Caenorhabditis elegans: one gene and its partner. The protein of the gene in region 1 interacts with the protein of each later gene in a biochemical or structural test. Each region holds a gene or a part of one and is shown on either strand. Other genes may lie near its edges.

Region 1 (7,971 bases):
GCCGAAATTGATTTAAAAATATTTATTCAAAAATAATATTTTTCGACCTAAAAATCTTCAAATACAATGGAAAACATAACAAAAAAGACGAAAATTGCTTGAAACTAATTGAAAACGTTTGAATAATAATAATAAATACCTAACGAGACCCAACTGTGGCCGTGAAGCGCGTTTGCATATCGAGCGTAATAAAAATTGCGCTTAAGATCAGCTCAAATTCAAATTTTCAGTGAAAAATTGCACCCAAGAAGGTCTTTTCGCGTGTGGAGACGAGAATTGTGTCCCAAAATCGTTGGCGTGTAACGGGCGGCCCAATTGCCCGTACGGACGTGACGAACGTGTCTGCTCCGTCGGTCAGGACACGATTTTCAGCTTTTTGGCAAGCGGATTTGCTCCGCTTGTTTCGATTATTCTTATTGTGCTCATTGTGGTCTCACTCATTTGTTTCTACACTATACGCAAAAATAATTGTGGTAGGTGGCCCCGCGGATGGCTTTTCTCAATTTAAAGTGCCATATTTCCAGCTCTTCCTCCGATCCTCTGATGTCACTGAAAGCTGGTCCAAAATGAATAAATCATTCAATCATTTATTTTACACGATAATAATAAAACTTAGTTGACTAGTAGTGTCAAAGAATACAATAAGAAACCCGGGAGATAAGCACCTGTGCAAAATAAAATAACGATCCTTAAGATCCTTCGGGTCAGATTATATTACAAATTTCGGGATCTTGATGGAGTTCGGGCACTTGAGCGAGTTGTTCTAGTCGTCGGTGTTGCTGGAATAGGTGGTGCAACCAGCGGTTTCAGCTGCCGCGTTGTCGACCGTTTCGGAGCTTCATCATCTTCCTCTTGGAACGTTTTCACCTGACGAGGTGTCTTCAGAACTCTGCTTGGCATCCTTGCTCGGCTTGGAGACTTGTTCTCATTATTTGAGAAAATTGGAGTCATTGGAACAGACTTCGATGTAACAAATTCTTGTTTCGGTGTCTTCGGCACAGTTTCCATTCGCATCGAAGTTCGGGCTGAAGTCTTCGGAGTCTGCGGCAAGTTTCTCTGATCCTTTTCCACGAATGGCGTCGTTTGCTTTGCAACAACTGGCAATCCATACATCACCACAGCGGCACCGGTCAAATATTTCAGTCTGGCTTTTGATCTGGCCTCGTGCATAGCCTCCGATAGCTGACGAAGCTTGTCGATTCCGGTGAGCGATTTGGAATCTTCGAAACAATCATCGATCATTCGAATCAAGAAACGATCGATTTCACCATCAGTGACAGTCCATAAGCATCCAACGATCAGTGGACACTTTGCCATCGCGTAGTCCAGAATCGCCGTTTTTCCATCAAAACCGAGAGCTTGTGGAATTGTTCGGACACTAAAATAAAGGCAAAATTAGTTGAAAATCAATCAAAATAAATTATATTAACCTTCCACAACCCATCAGCAAACTGATCGCATTACACGTCGACTGCTTGAGCACAGATCGTGGCATAACCGAAGATCCAGAGCCATGTCCAATAAAGCTGGAAATTTTTTTTGTTGATATTCAATCCAGCTCAATCTCAGAACTTACAAAAACGCATCGCGTTGAGACAACGCGGCGCTAATCTCATTCGATTTTGGCGCCGAGCCAACAGTTCCTTCCCAATTGAACTTATTGATATATTCGACCATTCGTTTTTGTGTTTCGCCCAAATTGTTGTCAGGATCGAGAATGTAGTAGGCGTTTTGTACGTCGATTTGTAGAGGAATCTGAAGTTAAGAAATAATTTTTTTTTCAATAAAAACTTATATGGAAAGTATTTCAGCTGGTAATGCGTATTGCGCAGCATTGTTGATGCGCAAAATATCTCGTAGGGAAAACTACAGTAACTCTTCGAATGGCTACTGTAGCGCTTGTGTCGATTTACGGGATCTCGATTTTTGAAATGAATTTATTTTCGAAACCAAAAATCTAGAAAACAAATCGACACAAGCGCTACAGTAATCATTTAAAGAATTACTGTAGCTTTCCCTACGAGATATTTTGCGCATCAAATAGGTTGCGAAATACGCATTTTCAGAATTTTTGTGTATTCTGGTAATATTTTCCATTCAAGATCATACCTGTTTCTCCTGACTTTTCATTGCTTCCAACTGACTAAAAGTCGAGTGAATCGATACTTGACGTCCCACATATGGATACTCATCGAAAATCGGCAATCGCTCCCAACAGAATTGAGAAAGATGGGGACAGATGACAAGGTACGTGTACTTCTTTTCCGTAACAATCGAATCATCCTGATTCATTACTTCAACCGAATTCCTGTGCATCAGCGGCAGGAACGATTTGAACTTCTCATCGGTAGTTCTCATCTCACAGAATCGAAGAATCAGCGCTTCCCAGGATTTCGCATCCATCAACTTTGACTGATATACCATCTCCTTGGCCTCTCCCAGAAGGAGTCCTCCTTTCGACAACTTGTGGATTTTAATTGCAAGTTCTGCCGCTTTCGGGCCCAACTGTCCAGACGGCATCAGAAGACTCGCCGCAACACCTAGGAAATGCTTCTGAACCTCGTCAACAAACGTCATCATTCTACCATCCACAATTTTCCGTCGTTTCCAAAACTCTTCTGGTGTAATGTCTCCGGGATACTTTGCTATCATCTCGTCTTCATCCAACAAAAACGTGAATTTATCCATCAATTCGACGGCTTGAGAGTAGTGTGCCAGTGGCATGATGATCGGATCACGATCCGCGTGCAGTTTCACCAAATAAATCGTCTTATCATCGGCCATCGCAATCTGTACAAGCGTCATCTCGTCTGGCATCGACTGTACACACGTTTTGAAGCGATCATGTCCCGACATTGTCACCAATCCTCTCTTGCACTTCTCAAGTCGGCTCTGTACAGCGTTACGAGCTCCGATCTGTGTTGACTCGGCCCATGCGTACGCAGCCTCCCAAGGATCACGTGATGTTCTTCCGACGTAGGCGAACAAGCGGCAACGCCATTCTCTGGAAAATTTTTGAAATATATATTCATTTTTTAATTCTAAATTTCAAACCTGTATAGAATATGGCCGTAGTGGTTCATCTCGTTCCGCATGGCAAGCCGAACCTTCTCGAAGCGTTCCTTATCGAAAGGCTGAAGATTCTTCTCCAGTTTCTCAACTTTCGGACGACGTCCGAACGGAGAAACCGCGCGAAGAATGTCGACGGCACAATCGATCGTTGCCTTGACACGTGGTTTCCGGATCGTTGGCCGCATCCAGCTATAGTTGCATTCCATGGGAAACTCGAGTTGTCGTCCAAGTTGTGTCACTGCGAGAATCATATCGGTTGTTCGTTGTTGAAGATATCTCACGATCTGAAAGATGAAATTTCGATTTTCCCATTTTCCAAATCAAATATTTTATACCTTCAACGCGTTGTTGAAAATCTCCATCGTATCCTCGTCAGCACTTTCTTTCGAATCCAACTTTTTCGTCAGCCACCGGATCACACACATGCCGAAAATCTCGTTTTGAATGATATTCGGTCTCTGCAATAAGTTTGTATTTTATTGTTTTTGAATTTCCAGAGCAACCCACCGGCCTCACACTCGAGTCCCGATGCATCAGAACCTGACTAGACATTCCACGCTCTCTGATTCTCGCGAACTCGTCGTTGAAATGTTTGATGGAGAGTTGCGAGAAATCCGAGTGAATTGCGTAGGACATCATGTATTCGGCGGCGAATGAGCTATGCAGCGGGTAAATCGTGCAGACATTGCAGACGCAGGATCGGGTGATCGGATGGAATGATTGTTCATCGAGTCTGGAAGAGTTAATTGAATAATTTTATATTATGGGAGCGGCTTTCGTGTGATGTCTCAGAAAAATCGCTCGGTAGAATTTGATTTTTAGAAAAGCGGCTTTTTCAACACTTTTAAGCAATTCAGGTCATTCTAATGAAGGGTGTCGGTTTTTCGATTTTTTCAGAAAATCGAAAAACGAAAATTTTTCGATTTTTTCAGAAAATCGAAAAACGAAAATTTTTCGATTTTTTGATTTTTCAAAAATTAGCTTTATATTTTGGCTATTATTCTTCTTTTTAGAAGAAACTTGTATGTTTTTTTTCTAATAAATATATGCAAAAAAAATCATAGGTATTTTATGGTTAATTTTCTGAACATATTTTTGCGATTTTTCGATTTTCCAGGGAATCGAAAAATCGAAAATTTTCGTTTTTCGATTTTTCGATTTTCACTGAAAAGTATCGAAAAATGGCACCCTTGATTCTAATTCAATTGAGCCGCGACGCGACACGCAAAGCGCCGTAAATCTACCCCGGCCGGGGCCGAGTCCAAATGGCTTAATTCGGAAAATTCTTACATTTAAAAATTTGGGGAAGCCTGAAGCGCGTGATTCAGCTCGATAAAATCGAGGGGAAATTGATACGTTATTTTTAAGAATGTGGAAAACAGTTAAGCCTATTTTTTCTTGCGCGCCGTCTCTGTAGGGTCAAATTCTATTCTGAATCTAAATATTCCAGCAATCCAATTCTCACAATTCGAGATCTCCCAACAGATCAGCCAGATCAGGTCTCATCGTGTTCTGTTTCTCCGATACACTACTCCCTGCCATCGGTGTATGAGCTCTCGAAGTGGCTCCCGTCTCCTTCGGAGTGCTACACCGAACAATTATCGGATTAGACGACAGCAAATTAACACACGATACTCTCATTAATTTCGCGTTCTTCTCACTTCCGGCTTCTTCGATGATACTCGAATAGTAGGCTAATGTGTTGGTTGTCTGAAGAACTCGAAAGAATGAAGCCGATTTTAATGCGACACGAAGATTCAGAATCATTGCCGACATCGAATCACGAGTTTGGGCGGTGGTGACGTTGACGAGAGCACACTCCCGACGCATCTCAAAGTGCCAAGCGATTGTACTGCCAATGTGCACTGAAAATGTAGAAATTGTGTTTGAAATTATATATTTTTTTTTTCAACAATTTATACCATAATAATTGCTATCTTCTTGATGCCCGTCTAGAAATGGCCAAATTGATGCATTAACCGAGTTGTCGAATTGAGAGCTGGCGAGGCCAGGAATTCGATTACGCACAAGTGAATCACTTTTTAATGCTGCTTCTTGAATATGGGACACACGATCCGGGAACTGAAATAATTATAAAATATATTTTAGAACACAAAACCATCGCTTCATACCTCACACTCCCTGAGTGCGGATCCAACGGGAACATTGCTCAACGTTGAGCACAACCAAGAGACATAAGAAGCCAACTCGTATCTCGAAAATGAGCGAGTAGGATCCGATTTGACTTTATCGCGAAGCTTCATCAGCTTTTCGAGCATTTCCACGCGATACTCTGACTTTTTCAGGTAGTTCATCGCGAATTCGGTAGCCGAGAACATGTCTTTCGAGCTTTTATCCATTTTCCACGTCTTCAGCTTCTTCTCAATTAGCTCGGTCTCGCCGAGAAACATCAACCATCGAAGAGCAGCTTCCTTGGCCAGAGTGTCGTCTGATAGGTCGATGTAGTCGAGCAGGCACACGACTGCTCTGCACAGTTCTCCGTTGTAAAAGTAGAAAAAGCAGAGTTTCGCGGGAATACTCGCGAAAATCTCTCGATCTTTGCTCCGACACTCCATCGCCTCCTTTCGTAGAGTTTGCCACGTGATGAACATTTTGCATGCGGTTCGTTGATACTTCGCAAGTCCTTGAAAGTATTCGGACGAGGCGTAGTATGAGGTGATTCGAGCCAATTTGCTCAGCGAGTTCATGTCAATCGGTCCATTGACGCCGAATTCGGCGATAAAAAGCTCGGAAATCTCCTGTTGCAACTCGGCAGTTTGTTCGGCAAACCCGATCACCGTGCAGCTCACATTTTTGCGTAGCTCATCTAGTTTTTCGATGTGCTGCTTGTCAACTGACTTGTTTGTGATCTTCATGAAAGTTTATCTAGAAAAATTAAAATTAAACTGTTTTAATGGAATTAACATTATTACATACATAAAAAGCAAGTTTTTTGATTGATTTTCATTAAAAATCGAGGAAAAATTGAAAATGAAAGGGTTTCAACGCACGTTATCTTCTAAAAAATTTAAAAAATTTTCTTCTAGATGATACGCTTCACATACGCGACGCGTAACATTGGAGCAACGTTGTCACTTTTTCTTAAAAATCTCTTATAAGAGTTGGCACGGTGCCAGATCCGGAATTCCACCAGATCTTGAATTAAAATAAGTTTTTTTGCAAGTTTTAGCAAGTTGAAGCAAGTTTTTTTATTGATTTTCACCGGAAATCGAGGAAAATTGAAAATGAAACGATTTTCGAGGCAAAAATAAAAAATTTCCCTCCGATTTTGAAGTCCGTGAATGCGCGTGCGGTGCAACTGCGTACAAAACACCAAACTTTACGACAGTGCGGTAAATTCTACTTTTCAAAGTTTGAGCCCCAAAATTCGTTTAATTTTTGTTTAAAACTTTTCTTGTTTATTGAATTATTTACATTTTTTCAGTCGACATGCCGCGTATCAAGCAAGCGCCGACAAAGAGACACTCGTTTAAGCGAATGGAATCGAGAGAAGCCGACGAGGTTCTTAATAACGATCCAAAAAATGAATTTAGAAAAAAAAACCAACAACTTTTTTCCAGAGTTTTCTCGACGAGGAAGAAATCGAACGAATAAAGGAGGAACTTCAACGAGTGCAAAACGAGAAAAAGAAGCACATTCAGAGAATGCAAGCTCGACTCGAACAAAGTAGGCATTTTCCTGAATTTTTTCCCCTCACAAAAAACATTTATTGTCATTAAAGTAGTGAGAATTCTTCGGGAGAATGATTTCAAGTCGCATCAGAAGGGAATTTTGACTTCGGTGAAGTTTCGAGGAGCAATTGCCGGATATACGACGAATTGAAGCTCGTCTCCTGTAAAATAGAGATTTTTGATTGAACAGACTCAAAATGTGCTCAAATTAACAAATTTCGTTCATTTTAGCCCATTTCGAGGTTATAAACATGAAATTCTCACTTGGCAACGCCTTCTTCGAGTTGTATTCCATTTGATCGCATTCAATGGCAGTTTCCATGTCGATTGAATCTCCCGTAACAGCTGAAAAGCAAGTATAAATGTCAATTTCTGTCGGGAAAAAAATCCACTCACAATTTCCCGCTTTCGCCGGAGTCCCATACTGCGAGTTTTCGTTAACCTCCGAACGACTGCTAGCCATATCTTTTGCACTGATCAACTTGTTGCCCTTATCCACATTCAACGTATCCTGCTGCTGTTCACCGGAACTGTTATCCTTCACCTTCTTCTGCTCATCAACCTCTCCAGCAACTTCCGACTCGGCTTTCGCTGACTTTGCTGGAATCGCAGTTTTCATCGAATCGGCAGACAACTCATTCTCCTTATTTTCCTTTTCCTTTTTCTCCTTCTCTTCCTTCTCTTTTTCCTCTTTCTCAGCTTTTGCCATTCTTTCCATCTCGTCGTCTTCCCATTCATATGGATCCAGAAAGTTGATCTTCAGTCTGGTGATAGCCGCCATCAGCTGAAAAATTTCTTAATTGTTAATCGGATTCTATTTCGAGAAAAACGCTACCAGATTATAAATCTTCTCATAGTTCGGGCGATCTGCGTAGCTCAGAGTTCTCAGGTACTCGAAGATTGATTTGAGCTCGTCGGGGAGATCCTGTAAATGTGCAAAATGTTCAAAATGCCGAAAAATGCATTTTCTTGTGAGTACCATTTTTGATGGTTCATTCCGGGTTTCACGTCTCATTTTGCTTTGATCTACGAAAAATGCGGGAGAAGAGACGCAGACATCTCAACTGATTTCGCAGGGTTGCTGACGTCACATTTTTCTGGGAACAATTCCCGCATTTTTTGTAGATCAAAGAGACTTTCTGACACCATGTGGCGTTTCGGAAATTCGAATTTCCCCTGTTTTCAAAAATCCACACCTCAAACAGTG
Region 2 (3,691 bases), on another chromosome or scaffold:
CATTTAGTTTCCAATCGATGGATAAATTATTGCATTTCTATGTTTATATTTCGTATTACTTTGAAATTATTTCTCCTTTCCAATCTATTGCATTTCTTTTCTTGGCTTTCCCTCTTACAATCTCATTTTGCTTTTTGCGGGCACCTATAAACGTGTTTTTAGTCAAAACTCGTTTCTTCTAGTTTTAGTTTGATGCAAATGTAAGGCTTGAGTTTCAAAGTTTTCAAGTTTTCAATAATTCATCTTTATTTTTTATAATCAGGAAGCTGATATCTTACGAGGGCGTAGAAAAAAACGTCGCTTGAAAACAAGGTGCAAGTAATAATTTAAATTTTAAAAAAATCTGAAAAGTCCTACATTCAAATTGATTGCAAAACTACAACTTTCCAAAAAAATTAAGAATTTTCGCCTAAGATTTACTCATTTTCTAGAACTAAATTCCTTTTTAACAAGAGGTTTCAATTTCAGGGCAATTTATCACTGGGCCAAACAGATTCTGTCAGACATTGTGCAAAGATGCTGCGAAGGAGTCTATCATAAGCTTCGAGCTATTCATACTCGAACAAGTGATTAAATACAATAAATTCATTTTCATGCAATAAATTTTTACAATATAAATAAATAAACAATTTACAGTTAGTGATTAGTATTGCAAATTTTTTAATCAGAGATTTGGAAGGCAAAGACGGCGGTAAAGCTGCACGTCTGTAGTCGTCAGTGTGGCACGTTTGGAATGGGCGGAAATGAGTGATGAACCATCGAACATTTGGACCAACAGTGCTTCCGATGCTTCCTGAAGAGCATTGATGGCGTCAGAACGAATGCGAAGGTCTGAGGAAAATGGAGTGGAAGTCTGCATAATTTCGCGGACGAGGCGTGCGAACGGAGCCTGAAATTTGGAATTGTTTAAATGTGGAATGTAGTAAAAAATATATACCTTTGGAATCAGAAGGTCTTCAGATTCTTGGTATTTGCGAATCTCTTCCAATGCCTTCTGGCCCGGTCTATAACGTCTCGTTTTCGAGATTCTGTTCCTTCCGGCTATCATCCGCACGCGATCGGAGCTCGATGAACCAGCTCTACTTCCATTTCTGCCATTTGTACCATCCGTGTCATTACGATTCCCCACATTTATTGGTGACTGATGGTGACTGTTGGCTGCCGTGATTTCTTCATCGGAGCTATCGTGTCGACGGTGTGAGGGCATATCATGACGGCCGTGGGAGTAATCGACAAGATTAGTTGAATTACTGCCGACCTGAAACAAATATTATGTTGTTTGAAATTTCTCACACAAATTTGAAACTAACCGTAATATCCACAGAAGGAGCTCTTCTTCGAGCTTGCTCTAAGTCGTTGAATCCAACAGCCTCAAGGTCGTTCTTATACTGATCCAGAAGAGCGATAAGGTCAGCGTATCCTGTGGCGCTTGTGTTGAAGCCCGGCACTGAAGTGACTCTGAAACACCATACATTAATTTGTAGCACGAAAACAAAAATAATTACCTTTGTGTGTCATGTTGGAGACGTTGCATGATCCTTGCCACCCTCCCATTCTTCTCGGCAATTTCCTCAATAATTGGTCCGTCATCGGCCATTGTTCGAAGATTATCCTGTTAAAATATAAAATTTAAAAAACTGAAGCTAAATTAAGACAATTTGTTTGAAGGTTAAAAGGAATTAAAGAAGCAATAAAAACGAACGCAGTTTAAATAAGGAACGATTGGCGGCAGGAGAACCATTGAAATACGAAAATGGCAAAACATATTTCCGGTGAAAATAATCTGAGAGTCACAAAATCAGCAAAAATTAGAAAATTCTGGAAGAAAAATCAAATTTTCGCACTTTGAAAAGAAAATGCGCAAGTAACACGAGAGATGCGCCAGCCATTTCCGCTTGCGCGGAAGACGATTATCAAAGTAGGTCTAGAAATAATACTTTTAGCTAAACAGGGAACAGGGCTGTTGCAAAAAATAATTTCCGCCCAAAAAACAAAAAACAAAAAAGCGAATTTTTCAAAAAAACCAAAAAGAAATCAAATTTTGATTTCAAACGGAACAAAACGGAAATTTTTCTTGAAATATTCTGTTGATCTTTCATAAAATAATAAAAATTGAATGAACGGAAGGTTTTTTGTTCTTCTTTGTTTATTTGTTGAATCAGTGTTGTAATTTATTTTTTGGTCTTTTTGGTTCCAGAAAACCGGGGAACATTTTAAAGAGACGAACTGTTGAAACTCACGAGTCGATATATATATATATATAAGTACTTCGGTGAGAGAAAATAATTTTTGTATTTAGACCTCAAACGATATATGAAAATTCAGTTCAATTAGGTTACAAAGACACTTTTGAATTCGAAATTCTATTAATTTAAAGGTTGAAGTTGAGTGTTAAAATGAATGTAGGAGCCCAAGCTGAGTTTGGCATTTTCGCTTTATCAAAAATATAAGAAAAAGGATCATAGTAATTTACCGTATTTCCTATATCAGTCTTGCATGCAAGATTTTATTCATACTGCCCTGTTTTGGTAAATTACCAAAAAGTGCGTGGTACATTCGTTTAACACTTCACTTCAACGTTTAAATGAATAGAATTTCAAAGTCAAAAGTCTCTTGGTAACCTAGTTGAAATAAAATTTCATATTCCTAGGGTTTGGACACATTTTTAATTTTACTTACTATTGAGAAAAGATAGGAGTTTCACTTTGAAAAAAAATCACCAAATTTAGAGCCACCTCTTGTTAAAAAGTAATTTAGTTCTAGGAAATGAGTAAATCTTAGTAAATTAGTAAATGAGCCGTTCGATAGTAAACGAGCGGAAGTGAAAACATTAGTAAATGAGCGTCAAAGTAAATGAGCCACCGTTAGTAAATGAGGATTTGGCTTCTCAAATCTCTTTACCTGTATTAACCGAAAAAAGTAAGTTCATGTTCTGAATAAATTTGTCGCTTGAACAATCTTCTTTTTGACCTCGACAGACTGGAATTCTGGAAACCTGAATTATTACTAAAATTTTACGTTCCTAACCGTGTAGCTTGAAGGCTTATTAGTTCCTCCAACCAATGCTAAAAAGTCAGAAGCCGTATTGTATTCATTGCTGATTCATTTAATTTTCTATTATTAAATGACATTTTGAGTCTTCTCAATCTCCCCTGAAAAGCCAATAATAACACATTTCAAGCGTATTCTTTATTAATTGAAAACTAGATGACCATCGAACAGGTAATGTACGTGCGAAGCTAATCTTGTGGTAGATACTAAATATGATTATGGATAAACCGTTTTTAAACTATACATTTAGATTTAGCAAAAATTTGTTCAAGAAGAAGCACCTCATAGACATTTCCTAATTTGTATATTTACTATGATGCTCATTATGAGATCACTTTTTTTGGAGATTTTTTGCTTTGAGATTGCTTTGACGGAAGTTTGAACGTAGGCGTACTCTGCGTGTCTGCAGAAGATCTGAATTTCCGCTTCGATTCGCCATTTGATGGATCGTATACGGAAAATGTAATCCAAATAGGGTAATAAGACGCTAACTTGCTTTGTAATTATGTCTGGAAAAAATAACTTTGACGAAAAATAATACAACAGTCTGAAATTAAGTTTACATAGCCGCCCGGAATAGTCCTGTTAGATTAAAACATTTTGTGTTAAATTTAGTTACAGTAACCATTGTTTTTGGTTT

The links.
Region 2: of the proteins of sep-1 (region 1) and cpar-1, one has a biochemical effect on the other in vitro, tested with the Caenorhabditis elegans proteins (one study listed by BioGRID).

Annotation. Positions count from the first base shown.
Region 1 is NC_003279.8:3,432,586-3,440,556, forward strand, and holds sep-1 (Separin homolog sep-1), read right to left. Parts: upstream 5,959-7,971; 5' UTR 5,949-5,958; coding exon 5,205-5,948; intron 5,155-5,204; coding exon 4,995-5,154; intron 4,938-4,994; coding exon 4,538-4,937; intron 3,806-4,537; coding exon 3,580-3,805; intron 3,531-3,579; coding exon 3,408-3,530; intron 3,357-3,407; coding exon 3,055-3,356; intron 3,005-3,054; coding exon 2,110-3,004; intron 1,756-2,109; coding exon 1,577-1,755; intron 1,527-1,576; coding exon 1,431-1,526; intron 1,379-1,430; coding exon 715-1,378; 3' UTR 573-714; downstream 1-572. Other genes in the region: neto-1 (CUB domain-containing protein), read left to right, coding at 231-473, 525-544; nefr-1 (Protein kinase domain-containing protein), read left to right, coding at 6,523-6,594, 6,654-6,759; Y47G6A.13 (non-specific serine/threonine protein kinase), read right to left, coding at 6,852-6,925, 7,029-7,109, 7,161-7,548, 7,600-7,689, 7,961-7,971. UniProt on the Caenorhabditis elegans protein: Cysteine protease, which plays a central role in homologous chromosome separation during meiosis I and in sister chromatid separation during embryonic mitosis.
Region 2 is NC_003281.10:9,431,980-9,435,670, reverse strand, and holds cpar-1 (Histone H3-like centromeric protein cpar-1), read right to left. Parts: upstream 1,615-3,691; 5' UTR 1,598-1,614; coding exon 1,506-1,597; intron 1,459-1,505; coding exon 1,311-1,458; intron 1,259-1,310; coding exon 938-1,258; intron 890-937; coding exon 665-889; 3' UTR 571-664; downstream 1-570. Other genes in the region: emb-30 (Abnormal embryogenesis protein 30), read left to right, coding at 1-7. UniProt on the Caenorhabditis elegans protein: Histone H3-like variant which exclusively replaces conventional H3 in the nucleosome core of centromeric chromatin at the inner plate of the kinetochore.